2 linked regions of the Tamandua tetradactyla genome follow. The protein of the gene in region 2 interacts with the protein of the main gene of each other region in a biochemical or structural test. Links are inferred from orthologs where the notes say so. Each region holds a gene or a part of one and is shown on either strand. Other genes may lie near its edges.

What was found. The genes of interacting proteins can lie anywhere in the genome.
Region 1: the proteins of USP51 (region 2) and ZEB1 form a complex in vitro, tested with the Homo sapiens proteins (2 studies listed by BioGRID). The link is inferred for Tamandua tetradactyla from reciprocal best matches to the Homo sapiens genes USP51 and ZEB1.

The regions. Positions count from the first base shown.
Region 1 is NC_135327.1:219,860,576-219,867,975, forward strand, and holds the start of ZEB1 (zinc finger E-box-binding homeobox 1), read right to left. Parts: upstream 3,002-7,400; 5' UTR 2,956-3,001; coding exon 2,898-2,955; intron 1,409-2,897; exon of another isoform or gene 774-1,408; coding exon of another isoform or gene 767-773; intron 1-766. UniProt on the Homo sapiens protein: Acts as a transcriptional repressor. Inhibits interleukin-2 (IL-2) gene expression. Enhances or represses the promoter activity of the ATP1A1 gene depending on the quantity of cDNA and on the cell type.
Region 2 is NC_135353.1:113,253,604-113,261,138, forward strand, and holds the start of USP51 (ubiquitin carboxyl-terminal hydrolase 51), read right to left. Parts: upstream 3,026-7,535; 5' UTR 2,923-3,025; intron 2,468-2,922; 5' UTR 2,304-2,467; intron 2,128-2,303; 5' UTR 2,073-2,127; coding exon 1-2,072.

The DNA.
Region 1 (7,400 bases), on a different chromosome or scaffold from region 2:
ATCTGCAACTTAAACATGACTGCGTTGCTAATAAATATTAACCAGTACTTATCCTGAGGTTTCACAACACAATGGCATATAACTTCATTTTTCATTTGCAAAATAAAAGGTTAAATCAAATAACATGGCTATAATCATCAGCGGTGGATAAGATGCATTTGAGAACAAAAAGAAATACAAGGACAGAGCCAAAAGTGATGAAAATGGAAGATACCTGTACTGGTACGGTACTATCTTAAACACCTTTTGTTTTCTGGGAGTAATGCATACCACAGACAAGACGTTTTGTGCTAAAGAGCCCCAAATCTGTTTTTCTAATACTAAACACAAAGGAAAAACACTGACAGCAAGCGTGGTAAATAAATCCCTCCCTTGAGAATGAAAGCAGCAGACAGGAGGGGGCTGACATACAAGCAGGAGAAAACTAAACACCATCTTTTTTCTACCTGCACAAGTTGCCATTTGCTGCAGCGATCAAGAGCCTCTTTTTCCTGTAGATTTCAAGTCCCTTTCAGGATCGCTTTTTTCCCCCGTAAGTCATCTGTTGATATGCCTTACGAGTGTAATATTCCTATCACGGGATCTTTAGGAGAAAAATCCATTCTATGCTGTTCAGGTAAACATGTTTACAGCAGCTGCACAAACGCGGGGTGGTTCAGACTCGCATGTCACACACATGTCGTCAGCACCAAGAAAAGCCCCTTTCTTTGACGATCAACATTTTAAATAAGGTAAAAAACGAACAGCACTTTCCAAGCCAACTTACCTTTCATAAAGCCACATCAGCAACGGCGGCAACAGCTCAATATAGAACGCGCACTATTTGACGCTAAAACAGGAAATTAAAATTGCAATAGCCTATGCACCGCTCCGTGCTGTAACAAGTCATCGCTCTACAATGAGGACACGAAACACACCTTTCAATCACAACTAACAGATGTATTTAAAATGCCAGTGTTTATTCAAATATCTAAAATCATTCCTTAAAGCAGTGATTTTAATGTAGGCTCAAATATATTAAAAATACGTTTACGATTGGAAGGAAACATCTTGGCACAGCTTAAAATCTTCGTAGCTGCCTCCAGACAGGAAATCCCACACAAAATCTAAAATTGCCAGGAAAGGTTACAAAACCTTGCGTTTCGCATCCCGGAGGGGAGGGAGAAAGAGAGCAGGCGCGGGGGGCGGGGGACGGCGCGCGCGAGTTTTCCCTGAAACACACATTTCCTTATTTTCTGCACGACGCGGCGATTTCACCCGGCGCGTACGTATTTCCCCACTCCTACAAACTCGTTTTCAAACCCAAGCAGGCCCCGGGGTAAGCCCCCCGGCCCAAGCCACCCGTGAAATTCCTTATATAGCCTGGGCCGGCGGCAGCAGGCAGGGCCCGCGGGCCGTTACCGCCCATTATTATACAAACAGGTACCGCGCGGGGACGCGCGGGGGCACCTCGCCCCGGCGCGCCCGCCGCCCCCGCGCCCCAGTCTCGCCCCGCTCGCCGGATCAACTCTCCAGACAATAAAACCCAGCGGACCTCGGGCTGCTGGAGAAGAGCGAGAGAAAGGCCACCGCCACGGCCGAGATGAGCAGGGACGCAATCAACTTGCAACGTCGCTCCAAACTGGAAAACGCGACTGTACACCCAAAAGCATACGTACGGGGCTCTCGCGCTCTCTTTTTAACTCTCACGCCAGGCCGGTGTGTGTGTATGTGTGTATGCGTGTGCGTGTGTGTTGCCCCGGCAAATCAACACAAATCAATAAACACTGCGGCTGCGAGAGCTACGGAGACGTCTGTCCGTCGGTCCGTCTGCCCCTCCCCCACTCCTCTTCTCCACCCGAGACCGAGAGCGCCGGCCAAGCTCTATTATCCGGCTTCAGCGCTCCGCGCGTCCGGCCCAGGTAACAACTTCCCCAAAAACCGAAAGAGAAAAAAGAGAAGCGCCCGCACCGAACCCCGTCCCTGCGCCGAGAGCGCGTGCCCCCAGGGAGGGGGAGCTGTCCGCACCGCTCCCCCGTCTCTAGGACCAGGGCATAACTCCGCCAACACCCCCGGGCGCCGCGCCAGCCGCCCTCCCGAGATTTCCCAGGCAGCAGCAAGTAGGTGCCCGTCCCTGCCCAGCGGCCCTCCCCACGGAGTGAACGCGTCTCGGGGCTCGGCTCGCGCGCGGGGAGGTGGGGGTAGGGGGAGGTGGGCGCCCAGGGCCCCGCGCCTTCCGCGCCGGGGCCGACCCCGCGAGCGCGCCGCGCCCCGGGTCACAACTTTGCCGCCGCCGCCCGAGCCCGTCCGCCCGCGGCGCGCACCCCCGGCGCCGGCGCACACACACACGCGCGCCCCCGGACACGCACCCCGCGGGCCGCCCCGTCCCGCCCGCGCGCCGGGGGCCCGAGCGACTGCCCGGGCCGCGCTCCCAGGGAGGCGCGGGGACAAGTTTGCCCTGGGCGCCGGGGCCTCGGCGCTGAGGGGGAATAAGGCGGAGGGGCCCCGGGGGAGGGGACGAGAGGGGCGCGAGGGTGGGGGGAAAAGAGTGGGGAAAAGTGCGGAAAGAAGCAACAGCCGCTCCCCCCGGGACCGAAAAGTGCCCGCCGGCCTCCCGGCGCCGGGGATGCGGCGCGGCGGCTAACGGTCCAGGGAGCAGCAGGGCGGCGGGAGCCGCTAGGCGGAGAGGCCAGGTAAGAGACATAACGGTTCAGGGAGAGCTAGCAGCCGCGGCGCGGCTCGGCAGCGGCGGCGGCGGCCGAGGGGGGCAGACAGCACTACTTTCTACTTTCCCACTCCACTTGGCCCGTCCCTGCCCCGGCAGCCCCCGGCCCGGCTCGCCCCCCTCACCCCCAGGGGCGCCCCGGCTGCCCGGCTCCCCCTGACTCCGCCGCTCCCCGGTCCCCTCCGCCACTCACCGTTATTGCGCCGCGGGTTCGCCTGCTTTCTGCGCTTACACCTGGGGCCATCCGCCATGATCCTCTCGCTTGTGTCTAAATGCTCGAGTCACCTCCTCCCCCTCCCTCCCTCCCCCTTCCCCCCCACCCCTCCGCCTCCACCCCTCCCCCTCCCCACCGCACCTGGTTTACGACACTCGCGGCTTTACGACATCACCTTCCTTACACCTAGAGGCGCTCGCTCTACGGCCGGAACCTTGTTGCTAGGGAGAGGGCGGTTTGCGGCAACCGTAGACTCTGCGGAGTTTGAATCGAGGGAAGAGGGAAAAGTTTTCCTCAGGTGTCGTGGGACGGGGAGAGTGGGACGCGGGCGCCGGGGAAATGGCGGGGTCGGGATCGGAAGGGGTGGGGGGTGGCCGGCTGTCAGAGCGGGAAAGGTAGGAGGCTCCGTGGCTCTCTGCCTCGGGCTGGCCACACCCGCCGCGGCCGCCGGGGGCACGTACGCGTCTGGCTCTTAGAGCTCCGGACTCCGCGCCCGCAGAGCCGCCCCTCGGCCAGGCTGAGCAACCTGCCCTCGCTCTTCCTGGAGTCAGGCCCGGGCGGCTCGCTCGGCCGCCTTGCGCACCCCGGATCGGGGAGAGAGCCGCGCGGCGTGTTCCCACGGCTCGCGAGGTGGAGGGGCACCGACCCGGGAAGCTGGGCGGCGGCCCTGGGGACACGCGGCGTCACGGGGTGGGGGTGGCGGGAGGCTACCTGCCTCCCGCAGGCCTGACGCACGCGCACGGTTTTCCCCCAGGCCCACCGCGATGGGAAGTGACTGCTGTGTGATTGAACTTCATCTGGACCGAAAGAGAGGCGAGAAGTTCCGCTTGTAAGCACCCGCGGCTCTAGGACGGAATGAGTAATAGCCGCGCTGGCCCTGTCTCACTTCCCCATCCGCACCGGGCTCTCACCTGCTGTCACCTCGGCCGCCCCCGCCCTGCTCTCCGCCCTCAGCTCTCCTCCCTGCTCTCTTCTCAGGGTAGACCGACCGGATTGTAGGGGTCAAGGCTTAGAGTTAAGGTATTAACCTGCAGTGATTTACTACCTTAAGGGGCAGTTATCCATGTTTAGGACGTTAAGGCAAGAAACAAAGGCTGACAAATGTGGTCTCTGAGACTGATAGAATGCTGATCTTATCTTAAGTCCTTGACTTTGTACAAGTTGGGGATTTCTGAAGAAGCAATATAGATAATACCACCCGTACCAAGAAAGTAAGTCTTTAAGTAATCAGCAGGATTTAGATTTCCCCTTCTGCCCCCTCCCTCATTTCAAGTGAGGGAATACTTGAAGTTGTATTTGAAACCAACTTTGTGGAATGCATGGAGCTAAGATGTGTTTCAGTAAATATAGTTATAAATGAACAAGAGTTGTTGATAGAGAAATTAAGAAAACTGAAAGGTAGCATATCAGAGTATGAAAAATGACGTAAATTATCCAACAGTGTTGGCACATTGTAGGTGCTCAATAAATTATACTTAACGATTTTTGCCGTGCTTATGACAGGATTCTTTATTATGTTAAAATTTATGTGGTAAGCACCCACCTGATCTCATGAAACCTTTCAAGTGAAATAAATGTATGGCCAAAGTCTGGTCATTTCAAATTAGAACGCAAATCCTGAATATAGATGAGAAAATTATTTCCCACATTTGCATTGGCATTTTGAGAAGTAAATACTATTTATTGGTTCATGAATGACTGTAAATATTCTTTCCTGTACATTGTGTTTATGTATCTGTTCTCATTTCCAACCCCGGAACTAGACTCATTCTTAATGATCATTTTAAGACAGGCAGCTCTCGATTTAGTCATGCTCAATGACAGGCTTGTATATATGCTGGCACCCTTGCTTTGCAAGGACCAGTGGTCATTTTTTCTTCTCTTAGATGATATATAGTGTGATTCAGTTGCCTTTGAATCATGTTGCAGACTTTATCTTTTGCCAGAATTTCTTCCCCTTTCTACAACTTTTACAGCTACCCTGAGTTATGGTCAGAAAGGCAGGGGAAAAATACTCTCCAACTCTACCACACACCTTAACCTACCCTTAAACTTAAGAAGCGTCACACATATTGTTTTCTCTTTCTCAAGTGCCCATCCACTACTGCCCTACTAAGCTCCTTCGGTGTTTGTCTTTACCATGAAATGAATTGTACAGAAAGAAGTGGAGGGACAAACTGAGTAGAAGTCATTTTTTTCCTTACATCAGCTGTGGACTAGTTTAGTTATCTTGGGCCAGACTTTAACTCCTTCATTTCTATGCCCTCAGCACATAGCAGAGCACCTAACCACATAGTAGATGCTCAATTAATATTTCTTAAATAAATGAATATTGTTCACATTTTCTGAGTCTGTTCTTGGCTACAAAATGAGTGTTGTTTATCTGTCTCCATCACATTGATTCTTAGGAATTGTTGAAATCATGGACGTGAAAGGTATTCTCATTTATATTCTGCCTTATTTCCAAACTAATCATTCTTGAAATTAGTTTCTCTATAATCATTTTCCCAAATGATTAACTCTGCTATTTTTAAAATATGCACAAATCTTTTCAAACAAAATTTGTTTTATATATATATATATATATATATATATATATATATATATATATATATAAACAAGTTGAATATTTTCTGAATACCTTTATTTAATGTTTAAGAAATTATTGAAATCTAGTCTGGCAAGAACAAAAGTGATCTCAATAAATTGCTGCTGTAAACCTGATATATGTGTGATGGTTGTTTCTTAGCTCATAGAGAATTGGAAAAAACCTTTAGAATCAATTTACAAAAAACATTCATTAGGCTTTAGGTTTATTTCAATCAAAAGGTGAGGCTTTATTTTTAGTAGTTTTCATGCTAGTGTACAACATATTTTCAATATACTATATTTAAATCAATGGAGTATAAATATGTAGTGATTTTGTACATATATAATTGATGAAATAATCTACATGTATGTTTGCTATGTACTAGATTAAATATATAGCCTACTGCCTAATTGTATAAATACTTTGATACCCTGGTTTCAAGCTTTGCTCCTCGTACTGCGTATGCCGAAGGAGAGGTATTCTGCTAAAAATGAATTGCTCTAATCTTTTCCAAATTTTCTTGGAAAAATGGAAATGGGTAGAATGTTTTCAATATTGAATTTGTTTCTATACATTTTTCATAAACCTTTTGCACCTGCTGTTGGCTTTCCATGAAAGAATTGTGCTATAAGTTAGCATGAAATTCGACATAAAATTACTTTGTATCAAATACTGATCTTGCTGTTCCATACCTAGCATATGCTTTCCATGCACCTCACTTCCTGATCAAGTTGAAGTACAATTTAGGGAACAATTATATGTTCCTCATCAGAGCAGAGAATTGGTTATATTTTGTGGAAGGCTAACCTGATACTGCTCTTAATTCAATGTGTAATTTTCATCTTAAAGCTTTGAAAAAGAAAGAATAAATTTGTCACGGGATCCTTTAGGGTACAGAATTTGAAGTTCCCTAGAGTGGTTACTCTTCCCTGGACCAGTAGTGATTCTGGGTGTGTGGTTCACAGTCGGACAGACGAGGGCAATGGCTATGCCACTGCTGCAGTTCACCACGTTCTAGGATGGTTGAGACAGGAAGGAAACCTGACTTACCCATGATGCAGAGCTGACAGCTGTTCTCAGGGCCCGCCCAACTTCTAATAAGGCTTCCCAGGAGGTGATAATAGGGACAAAGCCTTTTCCAAGCACATGATTTTATTAAAAGTTTTCTCCTTTTAAGAATAAGACTCCTGTTTTTAATATGGTGATGAAATGGTAACGCATGGAGCTTTTTATTTGGGGAACAATTTTTCAGGAAAATGTCTAATAGAGATACAGGTATAAACATAGAGATGTTTGTAGGATGTGAGTGAACATCCAAAAATAAAACTAATCTTTTCCATAAAAAATCACAATAATTAAAATAGGTTACTTTCAGAGGCCTCCTCCACAGACAATAGATTATAGTTTCTATTATTGATATTACTTATGAACATGAATAATCTTTTATTTTTTCATATACTTAAATTTGCAGTAGGGAGACAACATGCATATTTTGAATTTGAGTTGAGTTTTAAGTAATAACCATGGTATCAGTGGTCAGATATCTGGTTTCTACTGCTGTTTTCTGCCTTTTGTCTCCATGGATTTCGTTTCTCTGGCATCTTGACTTCTTTTAGCAGCTGATGGGTTTTGTTACAGAGTATGGCTATTTCTGTGATCACCAGCCTTAGCCTTATGTATTCTACAGCTCCTTAGTTCCAATCCCTGCCATTGTTCCTTCCTCACAGTATATGTATTTAAAATATTTGCTATCAGTAAGAGGTTGTAAATATGCCACCATTTTGTTAAACTCACATGAAAACATTAGGGGTAAGAAGCAACCTGTGTGCAATTATAGCCACAACTTCAAGCTTCTGGTTGTACCTTTCTCAGCTCTTTCACTGCATACCTCT
Region 2 (7,535 bases):
AGTAAGTCTTCAATGGTAGCTTTGGTGATGATGGCATCATCACAGCTGAACCACTGGTCCTTTTGTTGCCGGATAAAGCTAGTATAGTGCCCACTTTCCAAAGTTCCATGGTGATTAATCACTGCAAACAAGGAATACTTATTCTCATTGGGCAAACAGTCTGTTGCTGGCTGGCCTTTCATTCTGCTCTCTTTAGTGGAGGCCAAAAATGGAGTCATGTCCAGCTCCAAGGGAAAGGAGATAAAAGTATTAATCTTTCGTCTCTGTTTACCTACATGTTCAAACCGTTTGAGATGAAAACAGGCCACAGCAGGTAATTTCTTCATTGTGAGCTGTTTGGTAGATTCTTGGTAGCTTTGACAACTACTGCATTTGATTTTGGCACTGCTTCCTAGGTGCTCTGGTCTTGTAAACCACTGTAGGCAGTCTGTGAGAGAGGGGATTCCTGGTATGTGATCATCCCTTCTTACTGCGCTGTCAGCCTTCTCTGGGCTCTGGGAAGTGAATGTGGCACAAGAACCAGGCAAGTCCAAACTGATGTCCCAGCATGGGTCAATTGTAGTGGAGATGCTGTGGCAGGTTTGACATGTGACGTCTGACTGGAGGCCACCTGTGAAGATTTGGTCAATGATACAGTTACAACAGTTGGGGTTATTGGCTTCTTGTGCAACACTATCATCTTTGCTGTGTCTATGCAGCACATCTAATATTGCAATAAGGAACTCATGGGCATCCTGTTGCCTGTACCCTGCTAAATGTTCTGCATGAATCCATATCAGGTGCAATAACTTATAGGGAATATGAGGAGTTCGGCTCCCAGAGTACATAGCCTGAAAAAGTGAAGACATTTCACAGACCAGACACAAGCCGGGGCTTGTCATTATACATTTGTGCTTGTCAGAGAGGAAGAAATCTTTCAATAGAGGAATGTGGGTAAGTGCCTGGACAACACAGTTCATAAAGCAGGTATTTCCAAGATTGATTAGCCCCCTCAGACCTACAGTATAAACTGACTTTTTTCTCCTCTTTTTCTTGGGTTTCACAAATTTTGGCTCCTGTTCCTTTGACTCACAGGTTGATTGCTTCTCTTTAACACCTGATGTCATATACTGTTGTTGAGAAACGTCTGTTGAGGTGGAAGTTAGTAACTTCAAATTTTTTTCTTTTGTATCTTTGGCAATCCGTTCTATGTCCTTGTCATATACATAATCCTTACATATAAAGCAATATATAACTCCATGATAGAGGTCGATAGCTAAATTGTGCTGTTTTGTTTCTGCATGTTTGTGAATATGTTTTTCAGCAAAGCAGCCAAAAAAGACACAGGAGAGACAAGAGTGGAGCCTGTTCATATGGGTACTACATACACGACAGATGCACGACTTTGCTTTACGTTTCCTAGTCTCCGGGGTCCCGCTCCAAACGAAACGCTGGTAGATCAACCGCAGGTTCTTCTGCCAGTTCTTAACCACTTTAAAACTCTCTACATGACAACATCCTATAGGACCCTTATCAAACTCCATCTCCAGCAACCAGCCCCCTGAGCCATCTCGATCCCCAGAGCTGCCTAGCTCACCAGAACAGCCTCGCCATATCTGCGGCACGGACCTGGGTTGTGATCTCCGCCTGGATCTGCGCCCCAGCCAGGGTGGGGGCGGGAGCGAAGGCAGGGGGAGGGGCGGTAGCAGGGGACGGACTGGAGGCGGGGGAGGGTCTGAGGGCCTGGAAGGGCCTCGGGAGCGTGCCCAGGGCTGGGGCCGAGGGCGGGGCTTGCGGCGTGGGCAAACCGGCGAGGCGCTGCTATGACAGCGAGGGTGGATTGTAAAGAGCACCTTCTCCTCGCCGTCACCGCTCCGTGTCAAGTTCTCGTCAGGATCAGGCTTATGCTCTTGTAATGATTCCAGCTTGCTCTTCTCAGCTCCCTGGCCAGAACATGCCTTCGCCACCCTTACTGCCTCCTCCTCCATTCCCCCCGCCTTTTCAGCCACCTCAAGCAAAGCTCCACCTCCAGCTTCCAAGCTCGGGAGGACCGCTGAACCGGAGGACATGGAAACTTCTGGTATCTGGGCCATCACCTCACCGCCCCGCCTAAGGAGATGGACGTCTGGATTCGAGCTGCGATTGTAGCTGGAATGAGACAGGGACTTCTATGAGTGACATGCCTAGCATCAAGGCCGCGGTGCTCAGTTTATGCTCCAGGGACCCCTTCCATCCGCCTTCGAGCTCAGCCCGATGCAGCTGCGGGCTCCACCCCCTCCACTCTGACTGGCTCCGGGAACTGGGGTGGATACGGAGGAAGTTACCTGGTTTAAAGGCGATCAGATCCTGCGGCGGGACTCAGCCTGAGCTTTTGGGAGGAGAAACATGGAAACTTCTTTTTAAAAAGGCGTCACCCTCTAACTGCGTTCTCTGCGCCTCGTGCAGCCTCACTTTCATACAGCTTCCTCTGACGTTCTTTCCTTATATACTAAAAAACAAAATGCAAAAATAGAAATCACACACACACACACACTCACATTTGAGTTAACATTTTACCTTAAAAATGGCTGAAAGGGAGTCACTTGGAAAATGGGCACAGGAGAAGAAAGCTTCTCCCTGCTCTTATCTTAACTATGCTTCTGGGGCCGGTGTGTTCCACCTTTCGTCCCTGCACACAGGCGCGCACTGTCTTTGAGTCGGTCAGCCACACTCCTACGTCTTCTTAGGCTCTTTCCCTCTTCTGCTCCCTCTCACACCCTCTCTCTTGCTTCAGCGCCCTCCTTTCCTGCGGTTCCGCCTGTAATCCTGGTTCCTTCTCACGCCCTCCCAGCATTAACCAACCCCATAGCCACCCCTTCTTTAAGTGCGCGACCCCTGAAAAATCCGCTCTCCTCGCCCCCGCCACACACGCAGCCCAGCTATTTGTTTAAAGGTCTGGATTACCGTGGACCCCAGGCGTGTGATACAGAGCATCAGCAGTTGCTGCTGACCGACCACTCCTCAGCCAGCCTCTCCTGGCCTTATCCTCAGGGCTGGTCACAAGAGGGCCGCCCCTTGGCCCCTCCCCTCTCCACGTGTGGCCCCTAGCCCTGGATCCTGCCCTCCGGCAGTGATGAATGGCGCCGCTGTCCCGTGAAAGCAGACAAACCCTCACTCTGCTTAAGGTAACAAGGGTGACAGAATAACGAGAAAGCCCCTGGAATGGAGGTTCGGGCCTCACCTGATTCCAGGCCCAGGATCACCAGGGAAAAGATTCCGTGGGATAGGGGTGGGTGATTGCTGGGAAGACAGCTAGCTCCCCAAGCCTGAATCCTTCAGGGAACTATCAGAATCTAGTCTGTAGAAGTAAGTAGAGAAGGAGAGATGTTACCCTGGAGTGTGAAGGAGAGGAAACATAAGCATGGGCTTCAGGTTCAAATACACCTGAGTTAGGCACTTGTTAGCTGTGTGACCTCAGATAAAAATGAACTGCCCTGCACCTTAATTGTGTCATCTGTAAAACAAACCAAAAAAATGATAATTATAGTACTAACCTGTGAAGAACACTAAGTCAGTGTTCTGGTTAGCTCCCTGGGGAAATGCAATATACCAGAAATGGAATGGCTTTTAAAAAGGGGGAATTTATGGGCGGGCCATGGTGGCTTTGTGGCAGAATTCTTGCCTGCCATGCTTGAGACCTGCTTTGATTCCTGGTGCCTGCCCATGCAAAAATAAATAAATAAAAATAAAAATTTTTAAAAAGGGGGAATTTAATAAGTTGCGAGTTAACAGTTTTTAAGGCTGAGAAAATGTCCCAATTAAAACAGGTCTATAGAAATGTCCAATCTAAGGCATCCAGGGAAAGATACCTTGATTCAAGAAGGCTAATGAAGTTCCAGGTTTCTTTCTCAAGTGGAAAGGCGCATGGCAAACACCATCAGGATTTCTCTCTCATCTGGAAAGGCACATGGCGAACACAGTGGCTGGCTGGTGGACTCTCTGCTTCTAGTGGCTGTGTCCTTCTTTTTTGCTCTCTCTGTATCTCCTGGCTTTCTCTCTCATCGTTCGCTGTCGTGTCTTTCTCATGGCTCTGTCATTCTTCTCTGTTCTCTCTGAATCTCCTCCTTTCTCCAAAATGTTTCCTCTTTTATAGGATTCCAGTAAAGTAATCAAGACCAGCCTAGAACGGATGGAGACTCCACCTAATCCAGTTTAACAACCACTCTTGATTGACTCACATCTCAAGAGAGATGATCTAATTACAGTTTCAAACATACAGTTCTGATTAGGGATTAGAAGAAACGGCTGCTTTTACAAAATGGGATTAGGATTAAAACATGGCTTTTCTAGGGCACAGACATCCTTTCAAACTGGCACACATATTATATGTAAAAAGAGTTTTACTTTCACAAGTCTCTCAGCACCCATCCTGCATATATGTATATACTATAACTATACATACAACAATGAAAAAGAAATCGATTGTCTATTTCCAAGCCCTCTTAAAGTTATTACTTAGTTAACCTGATCACCCCAACTAAGCAGATCATATACATGGCAATGCATTCAACAAAAGTACAACAGTCCCTTAATTGTACAACTGCACAAGGTTGTGGTGTGAGAAACAGTAAGTAAAAGGACTTCTGTCCTCAAGGAGTTGATTGCCCAAGAGAATTTTCCTTCCTTTTCAAAATTAGAGGATCCAAGACACAACCCCCATAGAGTTGTTATCTCCAGGGCTTGTTGCAATTCCTATCCTATCTGAAGAATAGACTATTAAGAATGTTCAATGCTACATTCAAAGTGTCTAGGAAAGTCATGTCTCTTCTCTCTAAAACTCAGAAATAGGATGAACTAGAACTCTAAGGCATAGAAGTGTCATCAAGTAGATTCTTTTCCACAAAAGATGTATAAAGATTTTAGGAACAAGGACTAACCTATTTGATTTTTCTGACTGAGTGCAGGACTCACATGACCTTGGAGAGAAGCATGCCCCTAAATTTTCTCCCCCACACCAAATATAAGCTGAGAAGCTCAAGTAAGAATCAACGTTCTTTGATAAATTTGATTGCAGGAGTGATTGCATGGGAATTCAGAGAACTGTGTTTTTATAATTATTCCCACCATTTCCAGCTGTGTTATAGCCTTGGAGGAGCTACTCCTCACATCTAAGTCTCAGTTTACCCAAATAAAAAAAGAGCTGCTTTAATTTGGCTGTTCTTTGCTAGCTAAGAAACACCAAGACCTCTAAAATCATGGCAATGCAGCAAAAAGCCCGAGTACACTTCAAATCCACAGATACCTGGTCCACAGGTCAGCCAGACACTGTGTAGCTGAGTGGAAAAGATGCTGGCACTCTCATGGTTCTAACTGGAGGGCCCCAACAAGGGAGGGAAGGCTTATTCTTTCCATGCTGGAATTTTCCATCACTCTGTACACAGTAGAGATCCCTTGAAATTTAGGTGGCCTTTGGCACATTAATTTGTCTTCCTCTGGAGTTTTCATAGCACTTTCAGTGTGAAAAAAAAGAAAAAAGATGCAAAGTTTTGACCTCATGGAATTTTGGATGTGTTTACATATTAAGGATTTATGCAACATGCACCAGGGGTTGAAGGACGACACAAAAGGCGGCAGTGGGGTAAAGAGAGGCAGAAATGGAGTCACTTTAGTGGGTGGCCAGGCAGATATTAAGGGGAGGAGGAGGAGCTAGAGAGAGAAGTTGCCCTGTCATCCTACTGGTGAGTGGGTGGGTGGCAAAGGGGAACATGAAGGTCCTTGGTGTCCTGAGAGACAGTCCGTCCTGCTTCCCTTGTTCTCATCCCCCACATGTGAATTATCTTCTGTCTTGCGTGTCCCTTCTTTGGCAGCATGCTGGTAAGGAGAGTTCAGTGGCCCTGGAGGTCTGAGCAGTGCCACTCCCACCTGAAAAACAGCCAGTTATTGCCCCCACATACTGTCCTGCTCCACCCACCGAGCCTTGTGATTCTGATGGTCTACCCCTTAAGAGTAGAGCACAGAGAGGGGTACAACAGAGGAGGAAGCAGGTCCTCAGGATTCCACCTTGTCTCCAAATTCACCCCCAGAGGTCCTGCCCCTACCACATCTCCAGAGTGTGCCTCAGTCTAGACCAGCCTCCAAGGATCGGATCTCCCTCCTGGATTCTCTGTCCTTTAGATGCAGCTCAAGTGTCGCCTCCTCCAGGAAGCCTCCTTTGATCCCACAGATCTGGAGGGAGGGGCCTTTCAGGGTACAGTGACAACTCCCCGGCAGGGCACGCCAGACCCAGCCAGCATCTCTGAGGAGGCACATGTTGGGCCCTCAGTTGAGGCCCCAGCCCCAGCTACCCACCCCCTCCTAACCTTACCCTTTGTCAGCAGAGGGAAGCCTGCATAAAGAGACTACCCATAAACAGAGAAGGTGTCCTGTGGAAGAGTAGCTGGAAAGCATGTCCAAACCTCACTCATATGTACAGTTCCAAGCTGGGAAGGCTCCTTGGACTTGTAGACTAATTTATGCAGGGAAATACCTTTTCTCTCTCTAAGTAAGTACATTTGCTCAGCCTGAGCCAACAAAGTGTTGCTTACTTCTGGGTTAGCAGACCTGGATGGAAGGACTGACCCAGGGATTTGCAAGCTGTGCAAACCGGGGGTGGATCTTTCATGGAGGCTGGCAGGCAGGGTACCCGTTATAAATACTATGTCTTCTGAGCCTCTGGTTTTCATAATTTCAAGGTGATGAGCATAAATGATACTTGAGAAATCTGATACAAATGTGACATGATATAAAATATTTGTCGGTGACACCCTCACATGTAGTGCTAAGCTAATATTACTGTGGTTTCCTGCGTAGACTCCTAATTGAAGGATATGCTCAATTTAAGTGTGAGTTGTGTGAAACAAAAGACATAGGTTTTTCCTATCCCCACTCACAGGTCTCTGAAATTCCATGCTCTGACTAAGCTTGCTTCACAACGCCCTGAGTACTTTGACCACTTAGTGTACAAACCTATGATCAACCGTTTATGAAGTGCGTGGTAAGTGCTCGTCACTGTACATATGGCGACGTGAAATTGTATCCACATGTCAGCCTTGCTAGTTAGGTATCCTCACCTTACAATTGGGGAAACTGAGGTATCATTTAACATTAACACAAGAACATCCTGAGGAGAAGAGTGAGAGCTGACCTGGAGCTTCCGGAGACAGAAGTTTGGAATACAGTGTTATATTTCACCTTTTTATCATTTATTGCATCAGCTCTCTGGAAGGCAGCATGTAATTTCAGGTGGTGGAAGGATGTGGCTCTGTTACGTTTCCACAGAATCCTGAATAAATTCCTGAATATTTTTGTGAGAGGATCAGGAAAGCTCATACCCTGAGGAAGTCAACACTGTGTGTCCCCAGTGGGGGAGGGGTGAGGATGCTGGAGTTGCATCTGCAGCCTAGGGCAGTAGAAGGGAGAGAATGCGGAGCTGGTATTCAGACAGTAGACACCAGCAACCATATTGGCTGGTTTTTTTTTTAATTTTTTATTGTGAAATATAACATATATACAAAAAAGGAATAAATTTCAAAGTACAT